Linked DNA regions of Oreochromis niloticus. The protein of the gene in region 1 interacts with the protein of each later gene in a pairwise test. Links are inferred from orthologs where the notes say so. Each region holds a gene or a part of one and is shown on either strand. Other genes may lie near its edges.

The links.
Region 2: the proteins of apip (region 1) and PDZ domain-containing protein 4 interact in a two-hybrid assay, tested with the Homo sapiens proteins (2 studies listed by BioGRID and IntAct). The two-hybrid records come from large-scale screens. The link is inferred for Oreochromis niloticus from reciprocal best matches to the Homo sapiens genes APIP and PDZD4.

The regions. Positions count from the first base shown.
Region 1 is NC_031965.2:9,390,473-9,398,435, reverse strand, and holds the start of apip (methylthioribulose-1-phosphate dehydratase), read right to left. Parts: upstream 3,006-7,963; 5' UTR 2,872-3,005; exon of another isoform or gene 2,868-2,871; intron 340-2,867; 5' UTR 337-339; coding exon 271-336; intron 1-270. UniProt on the Homo sapiens protein: Catalyzes the dehydration of methylthioribulose-1-phosphate (MTRu-1-P) into 2,3-diketo-5-methylthiopentyl-1-phosphate (DK-MTP-1-P).
Region 2 is NC_031984.2:10,819,348-10,826,637, forward strand, and holds the start of PDZ domain-containing protein 4, read right to left. Parts: upstream 3,015-7,290; 5' UTR 249-3,014; coding exon 189-248; intron 1-188.

The DNA of each region.
Region 1 (7,963 bases):
GTTAATACATCCTAAGCTCCAAGGTGTGACTGTTGTATTAGGAAAGCAGCAAGGATAACACAATGTGCATTAAAATAATTAACTTCAATTAAAATGTTTATTATTTTATTTTGCAATTTTTAGCAGCATTTTAGTGTAACATTTTTCAAATTCTCACAAGTTTTTAATCACCATCTCACTTAAGAAAGGCATTTAGAAGACTTCAGTTCATACAAATACCTTAAAATAAATAAATAAATAAAAATCTCTCATGTCACGCACTACACTTGCCTGTTTTTCAGCGGTCTCTCGACCTGCATCTTGAAAATCATCACCGGTGCCGCAAAAAGACGACATCTCCTGTCAAAACAGTTAACGGCATTTAAAAGATGTGTCATAATGTCAACAGAAACTGGGCAATGTAATCGGTAACACTTTACTTGGTGGAAGGAGGAAGAGCTAAGTGATTTAAGGTCAAAAGGGAAAAGGATTTTGTCAGTGCCCCAGGTTTCATGGTGTTACTCATATCACAGCATCACACAATACCACAGAAATCAAGGAGGAAGAAGAAAAAAAAAATTACAGTTGGACTACTTTCCCTTATTCTTTATTCTCCCACATGTCAGTTCCCAAGAACTAACATGTGGTTTCCTTTGATCAATCTTAGATGCTGAGTAACATGTAAAAGGTTACGCTCCAGCTTGAAATCCCTTGAAAACACACTGTTAAATGCATTTTCCTATTATGCAAGCATTTAGGCTCTTTTCTTTCATTAAGACATGAATTTTCCATGCCTCGCTAGATTCAGAACCAAATACAATGATTTATATTGCATTTCAGCGCAGGCGAGTGAGAGCAGCATGGCACTGGCATTAATAAATAGAAAGCACTATCATTAGTTTCATGATGAAGTGCGAAGGAGTTTCTTTTATTTGGAGACACATTGTCAATGAGGAAATGAAAAGCAATCAGCAAAGCAGACCATGACAGACAGCCTTTCATATTTACAGCTTCCCGTGGTCACACCGTCTGCAGGGGCATTAAGCACTGCGAGAACGGTTTGTTTTATTTGTGACTGTCTTTACTTTTAATGGATGACTATGCACACTTTTTTTTTTTTTTTTTTAAGGAACTTCTTAGCAAATTTTTTGCTAAATATTGACACCCAACTAAAACAAATTAACACACTGGTTTAACATAGTTGCATAACCTAACTGTAATTGATGTCTGCAAGCTACAGCTATCCAGAAATGGCTGAAGTTGAATCCTGGATGAATTCCGCAGTGTGGATCACACTAATTACAGTTAACTGTTTCCTTTATTCTGCAGTACAGCACTAAAAGTCCATCTGTCCTGTATTTTTTTCCTTTTTTAATTAATTTTTTTTTTTTTTTTTAAATTGTAATAAAAATGGCCAAAAGTTGCTTTTTGTCTTTGCTTCCTCCATTTTCACATGGAAAGGTCAATTTATGTCACAGACATTCAAGACAGAGAAAAATAATAAACCTTTATTTCAAGTAAATACATACGGGATAGGGATTTGTTTGTTTTTTTCCCTCCATAGGGGATTTTTATATAATTAGGTGCTTGTTTATTCAAACATTGTTCTATATCACGTTATTGAAATACCACAAAAAACACACAGATTCCTATTAAAGACTGTAACAAACTCATTCCACACTGCACAATGAGGAGCTTTGTTTTATGGCTCATCTGAGATTCTAACTGCACTGAAAGAAAGACATAGCGGTAAATGTCATAATATACATACATGTTTCTAGCATTTGTGATTCAATGTAATGTAAAACTTTTGGCTTGCATAGCAGGTGGTTACGTACTGGTTTACTATTACAGAGGGGGAAAGCCTATTTTATGTCACATGCCAAACACTGGCGCAATACAGTTATTTAAAGGTTCTTGTAAATGTGCAATTCCAGTTTGAGAAATAAATAAATACATACATACATACATTTATGGAAAATAAAATACAAAAGGATAATCCTTTAATATATTTCATATCAGCCTTGTCATTCATTTCTGATATGTAGATTTTCACATCAAATATTAACCAATGCATTATACTCAACAGGTTTATTGTCATATACACCGCAAAACACAAGTGGTTACGCAGAACAATGAAATTCTTACTTTGCAGGTTCCCTTCACACAACTAAATAACTACTAACTAAAATGAAGAATAAACTTAACCCTGAGCATAGAGCATATATGACCACATCGTACTTTTCAGTTCAGTTTCTTAAATCATACATACTGTCAATATAAATGCAGTTAAAGATCATACATGGACTTTACATTTCACCTAAAGCATTACCCTGTGCACCACAACTACACAGGTGACTTTTCGGTTTGTGTTGCAGTTTCCAATGAAATACAGGCTGCTTACTAACCTACATAAAGTATATTGTGAAGTCGAACATTTACCATTTGCTACACTGTAATGAAAACGATAAAATCTGATTTATCCGAGTCAGTTTATACCGACAGGAATAATTAGACAGCGCTGCACTGTAAAACATAGCTTTATGTTAACTTTGACAAGTGATATGAAAGGTTTCTTCTTCGGGGAAACATATGTTATCGCAATGCTCACAACTCAGCATTCAGTGTGAGAAGATGCTCGTTCATCTTAGACAAGGGAGGATCAGGGGAGCTCATCAACTAAGTTCCTGAGGCTGATCTCAGTCTGGTTAGATGAAAAGTTTGCAGTTGTACCATTTGTGCTAATAGCTATGGCTAACATGTAGCAGTGACGATGGCTTCGAAAAATGGTTCCCCAAGCGTGAAGTCTCGTAGTCATACGTTAAAACAACGACTCGTTTACCTCGACTCTGTAAGATCAGTAAAATAAAAGTGTAAAATACACCTACTTACTGGACTTTTGGTGCTAAATCAGTCTGTGTGCGATGTCAGCGTTCGGACGTCATCAATACGCGACATGCTCAAGCGCGCGTGCAAATACACACACACAGACGGATGTAATGGCTCATAAACTGGCATTTAAACATTTTCGCAGAGCCATCTGCGTTATACGGGCAGGGGGAAAATAAAATAAAACAAAACAAAAAGTATTAACCCTTTATGCGGCACTCGTTGAAATTTATATGTAAATTGTCAATTCTAACTCTAGGCTTTTTTTTTTCTTCACTTGTGCGACTTTTCAAAACTGTTCATTTTTATGCTGTAAACCAGGCCCAGTGAAGTTACTATATATGGTTACTCACTCGTTTAGGGCACAGTTCTTTTTTTCAAAAAGTGTGTATATAAAAACTATAGGAAGAAACACATAAACTTGAAGGAATATGTCTTTATGGACACCTTTTCTTGACTGACACGTTCGCTTTTCACATATCAAAATGCAGCCCTGTCTAGTTACAGACAAAATCTTCACAAATATAACGTCCAATAAGATATTGTGGCTAAGCATGTATACGTTTTTTCAAAGATTTATGTTAATTTAAGTTTATTCCCTGAACTGAGTATCCCTGTATATATAAATATAAAGTAGGCAGCTGCAACAGAAAAATTACACACTTTTAAGTCAATTTAAGTATAAAAAAAACTGCTGTAGTGTCAAAACAAACGAAATCACACATTTCACTATTTCTGGCTAGAAAATGTTAATAAATGAGTTACATTTCTCTCCTCTGTACACTGATATACAAAGTTGTGACTAACATTTAGTATGCATTCAATGCATTGTCTAGTATTGTCCTAAATCTATCATAGGTTATTTTGCTTACCACTGTTACCTTTTTGTGGTAGAAGTAGAGTAACCATGCCAATGCACGCTAAATAACAGTTATTAGACCACACCAGAATATTAAAGTGCAGTTTAATTCATTCAACACATTTGTACTTGAATATTTACTATACTATGCTGTGTATAATGTAGTATAATATATAATATGGATATATGGATAATATGGATAACAGCTAAGCAAAGATGTGCAAGAATGAAACGAAATCTTAAAATTGCACATTGGTATACAGACTACTACATAACAAGGTATATCTGAAATAGTGAGCAGCCCTACAGAGCTGTGAAAATGCAGTGCAAGTCAGGACAGCATCCACAAACAGTAGATGTTATGTTGAAAGAACTCTTCTGCCAAAACGTGGGGAACACTTAAATTTATCTTGTTGGTTGTTGTTGTTGTTGTTGTTTGGAACTGTTGAGAGGTGGGGGTTCTCATCTGCAATCCTGCCATCTATACTGTTCTCAGATAAACCCACAGTATCATCAGCCCAGGCGATTTTCACAGAAAAGGTATTCATAACAGCATATTTTTTTCTTAGAGCAATGGAGAGGGGCTAAGAGAGACATGTACTGCTTTATGTAATAACTTTGTTATTGTTCATTACCAATAGCAGGGGATAGGCAACTCCAGGCCTTGAGTGCCGGTGTCCTGCAGGTTTTAGATATCACCCTGGGTCAACACACCTGAATCAAATGATTAGTTCATTACCAGGCCTCTGGAGAACTTCAAGGCATGTTGAGGAGGTAATTTAACAATTTGAATCAGCTGTGTTGGATCAAGGACACATCTAAAACTTGCAGGATACCGGCACTCGAGGCCTGGAGTGCCTACACCTGCCTATAGCATCGTTGTAAGCTATGTGGTTTGCTTGTTCAGACTATACAGCATCTACTACCATTAGATGCAAAACAGTGCCTGTATTTTACCTGAAGTCATACAGCATCTACCTTAGATGCAAAACAGTGCCTGTATTTTACCTGAAGTCATAAACTTAACAGATTATTTCATAAGAATTTGTGCACCTAGTCTGAACATGCTATCTGTTGGCTTGAAGCCTTTCCACACAGGCACTCCTCCCTCAGTTCATCCTTCTATCTTGTTGAACTCACTCAAAATCCTATTGCATATGGGGAAGAGAGACTTCAAAGAGCCCTGTGGGTACTCTGTGAAAGTTTCCACATTGGTCACTTTTTAATCTATCAGACATCAATGAGGGTCTGTCTCTAGCTGAGGTAATTGGAGGAGTAGGATTCGTGCAACTGTTACCTAAAATGGCCAAATAGAGATACCCTGGCAATAATTAATACAAAATAAATGCTCTAAATGCCATTAGCTAGATATCTGATGATTTTTCCTAAACTGACCCAAAATATACAAAATGTTATACATTGAGACTTTCCTGGGTCAAATATGATCCATATTCATTCAGATGGATTTTAGAACCATCACTGTGGGTCAAACCATGGAAAAAAGGTGGCAATAGGGAAGCTTGAAAATGCGAAACTACACATGCCATGTCTGTGAGTATCTTTTTATCCAGCAGTGGTGACAGAGTTCATGGGGGCCTTGACACTGTCATGGAGTATAGGAGTGATGATATATGATCATGCATTATGTCATAAGGAACAGAGGTACACACTGTATTGCCAAAAGTATTCACTCATCTATCCAAATCACTCATAGTGTTCCAGTCACTTTCGTGGCCACAGTTGTGTAAAATCAGTCGCCTAGGCACGTGGTATTATAACAAAGTTGAAGCAAATGACAGCAACTAAGCCACAAAGTGGTAGGCCATATAGAATTACAGAGTGGGGTCAGTGATTGCTCAGCCAACTTTCTGCAGAGTCAGTTGCTAAAGACCTCCAAACTTCATGTGGCCTTCAGATTAACTCAGATTAATCATCCATTTATTTAAGATTGATCTGTAGATCAAAATTCAGTTTTTGGCCCAGGTTGAAGTTGACCCAGACCATACTATGAGTGCCCTTAGACTCTGCTCATGAAATATGAACAAAATATATGGGTTAAATTTTCGATACCATCAAACTTCATCAAAAGAAGTAGTTAGTGAAAGTTATGAATGTTTTGGTACAGCATCTAGTGATGAACTTTTGATGTCTCATGTAGGAACGTCATGTCGTTTGTCGCTCGAGTTCTTTTTTTGTTCACATGGTAGTTACAGTCTCAACATTTATTTAACTATCATGATGCTAAATAAACAAAGTTTAAGGCAGTAAGAGTCCAAAAAAGCTAAAACAACCCCCCAAAATGCTAAAAGCTTTAAAAGGAAATTAAAAAAGATGCTGATAAACTATCAATGAGTTATTTTAGAAGGCCAAATTGCACATCATATCTGAAAGTGATATCTGTGATATCCTAGCGGCCGAAATTTTATAAAGAAGGAAAATAAAATTCGAACTTACCCAACCAGGAAGACCTCGTTTTCGGTTATCTGCAGATCTGAAAATGAAACTTGCATTTTTTTTTCCTGTGAAGTTCCACATTATTTACTGCACCATAATACAAAAGTTGACAAAACATTTAAAATGTGAAACTATTAAGAGAGAACAAATAAGCAAAAAAGAGGAGAAAAAACATGGAGATGCCAATAAAGAACATAAAAAAGGTAATACTATGAAACCAAGCAATAACCAAGCATTGTAATGGGGAATGAAATATCTAACAATAGTAATATAGTATAATATAATATTGCCAAGCAAGCTAGAAATGTATTTGGACAACAAGGAAAACAGAATTCCAACTTAATCAAACAAAAAGGATAACATCTAAATATGATAAGATAAAGAACTTGTTCTGGGATTTTTTTAAAAATTATAACCAAGTACAATCTTTTTTTTTTTTTTTTTTTTTGACTGAGGGAATTATGTAAAGCATTGTTTATTCGCTGGCATAATTCCTCCATGTTAAACAAGATAAAAACATGATTACTGTAGGGTTTGTTTTTTTTTCCAGAGAAATGTATTCTATGCATAAATAGCTTTTCATTTTCATTAACCTAATCCTATATATGACCAAGCAACGGTAAATTCAGACTATCCAATAGGGTTTATTTTATTTTATGTTTTTAATAAAGCAGAAAGCCTGTGAAAGAAAAAAAGAGCCAATGGAGCATCTTGACTTTTGTGACATGTATGAACAAGCACCCATTTCAGTCACTTTAAAGCAGTACTTCTTCATAAGGCAAAATAAAGTGATATACAAAATTAACTTTTTGTTCATGGTCATTTAAGATCTGGTTGCCTAGTTGTGAAGTATGATGCAATTATCTGTTTTACTACCAAAATGCTCCTACCATTCCTATATTAAAGTAAGCACAGAGGTTCTAATAATCCAGCTCTGGATTTTGGAGCAGTATTGTTATGCTATTATAAACACAGAAGCAAAGGAAATAGTTTAAGTCATTTTTAATAAAATCATCAATCAATCAATCACAAAAAGTGATTGATTGCGTTGCTTTTATGTTGGAGTATAACCACAATACAACCAGAGATGCGTGAAAAAATGCAAAGAAATGTGTCACAAACGAGTTGACTGATTGCATCAGTAAGCCCACGTTGTAACGTGATTGGAGATAGGTTGCATCCCGCCAGGTAGGAGCAAACATGGCTGCCCAGAGTCTGAGCGAATTGCATGATCAACCTTTGGTTGAGCCATTGGTTGCTTGCAATACTTGCACTTGGTTGCCAGATGTCAAAAAATGCAATCCAATCATTAAGATGATGCCATCTATTTGTGTCACACCTCTTGTGTGACTTTGCCATGAAATAGCAGAGTTTTAGACAGTATCATACACAACATGCATTTAATCATTAGCATGTCTCTTTATAAGAAGTACTTTCATCCGCTCCTTTTCCAAAAGGGTCATCACAGTGGCATAAACTTTACACCAAATGTTCCTGATGGTGTTTTCCCAATTCCCAGGTTTGGGTCTCCTTCCATAATCAAACAAAGGCTCGTTCACTCGTAAAGCAAATGTGTTAACCACTGCACCACAGAGCCACAGTGTTTGTATGTTTTACTGAAAAACATTGCTTAAAAACATAATCTGCCCTGTTTTTAAAGGGAAAAAAAGATAATCTCTTACAAGAAAATACATATGATGAAAAAACCTCAATAGGTTTTAGGGAATTCTCCTGATTAAGAAAACACGAGGAAAAATCTCTGCCGCATTTTAAAAAGCCTAA
Region 2 (7,290 bases), on another chromosome or scaffold:
TCTGCTGATTTCTGAGAAAGGTGGTTGTGACCTGTGCAGCAGCTTCACTGTAAGGAAAATAACAAGTTGGGAGAGAATAGCAAAGAATACTTTGGGGACACACACAAACACTTCCGCTTGAAGACTCACGAAGAAAGAAATTCAAGAAAGTCAAAGGACAAAGAGAGGAGAGGAGACAGACAGCTCACCTGGAACATGACCCTGTATTGTTCCTCAGGTTTTTGGACCACACACATGTTGCACCCCATCGTGGCTGTGCAGGTCCCACAACTGCCCCAGATGAGCAACGCTCACGCCAGGATTCTTTGTGCGGTCTTTGTCTATGGCAGTGGGAAAGCCCCACCCTCATTCGCAGGGTTGTAGCATACAACTAGTCCTCCTCAGAGTAACACACAACACATCCTTGGCTGGGAATAACACAGTTTAATTGGCTGTGTCACTGTTCGCTTCTCTTCTGTGCTGTTTGCAGCTCAAGTGTTATAATCCAGAGTAAATTTAAACGTGGAGATAGTTTCAGAGCAGCAAGCCCACGTGTTAGTTTCTGTTTCCATGGCAAGCAGAAATGTGTCTTGTTTAGGTTTGTGTGCTTGTTGTAGATCAGGAAGGATTTTTGACTGGATCTGTGGAAAAGATGTGCTTCAAGAGTCCTGCTGGTTTGTGTGTCATTCAATAGATCAGGCATAAAATGTTGTGCTTATCCAGTAACTTTTCAAAAATGATCACACTGAAAGCTTGCTGTAAATTGCAACAGTGGCTTTTTAGTTTGAAAAACTGCACTAAAAGACAAAGTTTTCCCAGAAGAACTCTCGCTGAACTCTCCCACGCTGTTCCTGAGTCTTTTTCACTCAAAGAACTAAACTTCCAAAAAGCACATTTTCAAAAATGCTCTTTGAGCCCGTTAGATGCAAACAATGCAGCTATCAAAGAATTTGCCTCAGTTTTGTTTTTTCCTTCTGCTATCATTGCTGCCACATGGAGCTTCCCACCTACTACACTCTTTCTCTCTTTCCAGGACTGCTGAGTGTGGCTGCTGAGATAATTTAGCCTCATCGGTGCCTTTTTAGAACCCTCTTTACCTATTCTGATCCTCCACTTAAGGATCAATGCGTGTTTAAAGTAATTTCATAATTTAAATCTATTGAAATGCACCGAGTAGGGAGGTGGGGCAGGTTGGGTGGTGCCCATTATGCCAGTAGCCTGGATCTCTAAGCCCTTGCTGTGCAGCTAAGATAAGCTGCGTGCCACAGACAACAACCTAAAGACAAGCACACCTACAGACACATCAAGACAGGAAACAAGACACGATTCTTTCAACTACAAGCTTTACTGCACGGAGGGAGTGCCAATTTTCCTGTAACTGTCAGCAGAACTGTCATTTTTCATAAAGCTTCTCCAAACAATACAAGCAAATAAAACATACAGAAACTGCAGCATTTATCTGATCTGTTGTCAGAAGTCATGACCAGTATTAAACCACTCATATTCAGCTAAACCACACTCAGGACTATACCTAACTGCTCATGGGTTGGACTCACTGATTGGTTATATTTACTGAAACCTCCAATCGTGTCTGTGTTGGGAAATCAATACAAAACTGATTCATTGATCAGCTGGATTTTGTACTGGGTGGGTTGTTGTCTGTCACATATCCAATTAATTCATTTAGAAAGGCAGGTTATTTTTTATGAATTTGTAGGCCTGCTTTGCACTGTTACTAATTCTGATGCTTTAGTTTTAACTCTTCAAATGAAGCTGTTGTAAACTGTCTCACTGAATTTAAATATGAATTAAAACTCCCGTTTGCTTTAGGATTAGCCCAAGTCTGCGTCCTTCAAAGATAACTGGAATTAGAATATGCCGTATTCCTGTCTCCTCCTTTGCCCTTTAAGTGTCATCATATTACACAGAGCGTTATCATTAATCCTCCAGCAAGAGGTCATAGTTTGAAAGTCTTGTCTCAAAGTACCATCGCGCTGTCTGCTGCCAGTGACAAGGTGTTACAGCTGCTAATCCTTATTCAAGGCTCTGCTACACCTGTATTCTTTCCAGAGGCTGTGTAATCCCAAACACCACACACACACACCGAGTGGCATCCTCACTCACACAAGCACAGAGGAGAGCTAAATACACTCAATGAACCGCATGATAACTTGGGAGAAACAACCTGATAGTTGAACTCTCGAGAGCAGACGGCCAATCAACCTATAGTGAAGTGCCAGACAGGCTCAGCAGGCAAGCCAGTTCCAACTGTCACCCAGTCTTTCCATCTCCTGCTCATCATCATCATCTACCTATACCTGAGTGTCAGTCCTACATGATTGTTGCAGTGGAGTGTTTAGGATGCTTCCCAGCCTGCCATGCTTTCAGAATAAAATATGGCATGGCACGCTGTGACAAATGCAGCCTTTCTGTTAGAGTGGTGGGTGTAAAAATATGTCCTGTACTTGTGTCAAAGTTAGTCCATCTTCAGTGTGCTGCAGGAAATTCAAGAACATCAGTCAGTAAGTCCATTTTAATCCTTCTTTTGTCCTCTGGTCTTTCCCTTTGAAACATCCACAGGAGGATATTTATTTGTAAGAAAAGAAATAAAAACCATGGCGAGTATTCCAGGTGGTTAGAGTGTTGTGCAGAGTGCAGCGCTAGTCTCAGGTCAGTGATAAATCACCGTCAGCAGCCTCACAAGACGAGAGAAATCATTAAAGGCTGATTGGAGGATACTTCTTGGCTTCTCCCCCTGGGCAAGACGATAAATGCACCCCCCCACTGCAGTGGAGGGAGAGAAACAAAAGGCGGTTGTTCCCCAGCGGTGAAGGAGCTTACTGATCTGCACGTCGCACTACTACTAAAACTGCATCTTCTGGTTTTACACTGTATAATCTCTTTCTTCCTCTGTCTCTCCCCCACCCTCTTTCTCTCCATATCCAGGGCTGGGCCACTGCTCTCTTTTCCAGTCCCCCATAATTTTTACCCACACCTCATTTGCTACCCTCTCCCTCCTCCTTACACTCTCCTCTCCCCTGCCTCTCTCGCTCTGCTTGTCTGCAGGCAAGAGAGCAAGCACTGGAAAGTCTATGCGCTCTGTTTCGGCAGGACAGGACAAGATAACGAGCAACGCCACATAAAAGTGAATGAAATATCAAGATTTTCATGCACTGTACTACCAAGACATGCAAGAAAAGTGGGGAATCTGTTCATTTAAGCAATTCAGTGTCAACCCTTGTTGAGCTGTATCAGAAAGAAAAAGGATGATTGCACTTTTTCATTCCAATAAAAATGCCCAGAGCAGGTAGAGAGCTGATGACTGGCTGTGCATTTAGATGAGGTTCTGTGCTGCCACAAAGAAGGAGGGAAGCGAAACAGGGGGGTGGAAAAGAAGAAAAACAAGTGAATAACAGGTGTGACAGGATAAATCGAAAGATATGGAAGAAAGCCAAGATAGAAAATGCAAATGACTGTGTGGGAGATCACTGGTGAAGTGGAGAAGGGGTGGAAACAAGGGGTTTCTGCAGTAATCAAAATGACCTGCTGAGGGGAGGGTGAGGCGGAGGCATATGGAGATGTTTCATTTTAAGTATCTGCACAGGCTGGGAGATATTTGTGGGTACAATTCCTTCTCCCTAGTTTTCCCTGTGGAGCTCTGTGCTCACACTCAGAACACCACTTATTTTCTATTTAGAAAGGCTTTAGTGGCACCTTTGCTGCAGCGCCAATGCCAAGTACCACAAGGCTGGAGAAGTGAGACACTCCATGGGACAAGAATGACATGCTGCCATACTCAGATTAACCTTTACATAAGGATACTTTTAATTTTCTGCCTGCCACTTTTCAGTTTTTCCATCTTTATATGTGTGAATCCTCTCTAATACATCACACGTAGACCTTTATTAACTGCCGTTTAATTAAGACCACCCTTTTGTCAACATCTAGTCCTGTGCCACTTAGTTTGTTTTTATCTGCTGCTTTCTCTCTCCCTCTTTGTGTCTCTCTCACACACATTCAGCCTCCCCTTTGTGTGTGTTATTCGCTGTAAGCCAGTCTGAAACAGGATTTCATGGTGGCTGTGTCTGGTTCAACAGGCTTACATGTATTTTGCTGCATAGCCAGTAATACCGAATGCACCCCACACACTTAGCAGTACTCACAGAAAACACGCACACACCGATCTCGTCGTCTTGTTATCTGTTGCACTCATGTGCATCATTCAGCCCCAATTTGTCCGCTTTAGATCTTCATCTCAATATAAAATGTCAGAGTGTTATCTTATTATTCTCTGAAATATCAACTGTCCGTTCCACAAGGAAGAGAAAAGTAGAGAGCATCGCATTTAAACAGACAGATCTGGCTCGCATTATGATCCGTCTCCAGCTTAAATACCAGTGGTTGTCATTTCACATTACCCACCACTGCTTCTTTCATTCCCACCTGAACAAAGGGGACGTAGCCCGCAGGTTGCCGCCCTTTTCTATCTCCACCCAACTTCACCTTTGTCCTGGCATTTTTTTAAAAAGGGCATTTTTAAATGGAAAAGCTAAAAAGCATTTAAATCCTTTTGGTAGTCCTTTATGTTGGCGTAATTTATCAGCATTTAGCATGTAATTCTTTTCCTTTTAAGTTGTCATTTCAATACATAAAACAACTTGGTTCTTAAATGTAGGTGCGGTAAAACAAGATAATGACAATTACTGGTTTAAAAGAAAGGAAAAGAATATACTGCTAAAAGTATTTCAAAATAATGAGTACCTTTGGAGAAATTTAAAAGAAAGGAGATGCAAATTATTCTCTAATGTGAAGTGCTTCACTTTTTTCTCTTTTTTTGTTTTTCTGGCACATTTCGCATTGCTAAAATGAACAAGAGAGATGAATTGGAAGCTTTTGTTTTGCAAAAATGTTAATGGCAAACACTCAGGAATAGCAAGGTAACAACAGCGGTGAATTTCAGACGAAGCAGAGAAGTTTTTTTTAAGGGAGAACAAGACATAAAAGAGTAGGGAAAAGGGAATAATCGCAGGGAGATTAAAGAAGTGGGGAACAGAAATATGTAAAAATGAAAGAAAAAAGAGAAATTGCATTTCCACTGAGGCCTTCCTTTTCTTTATCGTGAGGCAAAAGGCAGCAGAGCAATGGAATACTGGCAGAATTTTAACCGTGTTCTCATTATTTATTTACTGCTCTGAGGAGCACAGCACCAATACACAATAAGCTGCAAAGGAACCACATTTTAAGGGTCTTTTGTTTGGGTTTTTGCACATATATATATAATATGTATAAGATATATATATATGTGTGTGTGTGTGTGTGTGTGTGTGTGTGCACAAGCGTATGTGTTTATGACTCAACTGTCACATCATAGCGAGGACTATGATTGGTAGGTAGTAAAAAATGACCCTTGCAGCAGCTTCATTCACATTCCACAGAAGTCACTGAGTGTGAAAGCTATTTCACAGAGGAAGCAGTGAGGGCCAGGTGCCACAAAGAAGCATTGCGATGGCATGAGATGGGGGCTTAGATAGACTGCGAGGAGACAGAGAAATGAAAGAATGATGGAAAGGGAAAATGAAAGAAGAGGCTCTGTGTCTAATCTTATTTGAGTGAACGAAACTTTGGTCTTCAGAAACACAGAGAAAGCCATATATACCAGAAGCTTTCAGCTCTGCATGTTTTGATTTGAGTTTTACGCTGGATGCCCTTCCTGATACGCAATCTTAAAGGGGATTTGTGTTTATGACTGGAATCAAACCAGCAACTTTTCAATTGCCAAACAAATATGTTAGGACTGGAGGTGCACTGAGAAAGCTATATTGAAAAGCAAAAGAAAACAACCCTGGCTGCCCCTCAAACTCAGGTATGTCAAGAAAATAAACAAGAGCGCAAAGCTGCACAAACAGTTATTCATCATATGCGTTTGCTTTTGTTTTTTGTTGTTGTGGATGATATTCTCAATCACAGACTGCATACTTAAAAAAAATACTGGCAGCTGCCAATGCTACTCCTCAGACTCCCAGTAGATGGTATGAATTTAAAAATCCTAGGTGATTTTCAGAAAAGTTGACCTCTGACCTTGAGGTCGAGGTCACTGAGATTCAAACTCGTGCAAGATTTTTTGTTGCTGCACCTGTGGTATGAATTTGAAAATCCTAGGTGACTTCCTTCTTGAGTTATCATATTCACAAGATTTTCAGAAGACTTGACCTCTGACCTTGACTCTGAGGTTGAGGTTGAGGTTCCTGTGATTTGAACTCATCCAAGATTTTAAGGAGCTACACCTAGGATACCACCTTACTATGTCCATGTTTATGTCGATATCAGCTACACCTCAAGGCAGGGTTTCTCTCTAATGATGATCTCTGTTCGACCTTTAGACCTTGTTTACAATTTCATTTCTCCAAAGGGAGAAGGCTTTGATGTTTCTATGCAATTCATCATCTTCAGTGAAAATCTAGTGGATAATATAGTATTTGCCAAGTTGCCTAGTGTTAAATTTGAAAATTTAAACTGACTAGAGATTTTCTGAATCCTCGTGCTGTCCATATGTTAATATTGAGTCACTGGTCACCATTTTTCACATTACCTGTTTAATTCAGTTCAGTTCAGTTTGCCCCAAGTTGCCCCAAGGCACTTTATATTGTAAGGTAAAGACCCTACAATAAAAGAGAGAAAACCCCAACAATCAAACGACTCCTTTTGAGCAAGCATTTGATGACAGTGGGAAGGAAAAACTCCCTTTTAACAGGAGGGGCGGCCATCTGCCGCGACCATTTGGGGGTGAGGGAAGGAAGACAAAAGACTTACTATGGGATGTGTACCTTTCAGATTGTTACTCAAGAATTTGGTGCTCACATCCAGAAAGTCCCAGTATTCCAGTTTTCCTATTTATCAAGCCTCAGAGTTGATGAGATATTTAACAGAGAGTTTAGCTTGAATTAAACAGTTATGATACTGCTGTTTAAGTTAACCGTAAAAGCTGAGGAACACAGATTTAGAGCATGCCGATACTGGAATAAACTGCAAAATAAATTTAAGTCAGATATTTCCTTTTAAAGCATAGGTCTATGCTGTGTTTGATAATGGTGTTGTTCCCATTTCAGTTTTAATGACTGTATTTGCAGATGTTGTAGTGGTGGTGCCTTCTTTTGTCTCCCAAACTAGGCCAGTTGATAATTCTCGTACAGTTATAACTGCGGTGCAGATGTACACTATGGGGATTCTAATTCCAACAAAATATTTTTTCATGTCATCTTCAACTGATGAAAAAAATGGTTGATCAAGTATTTTGCAATTGTTAATTAAAAT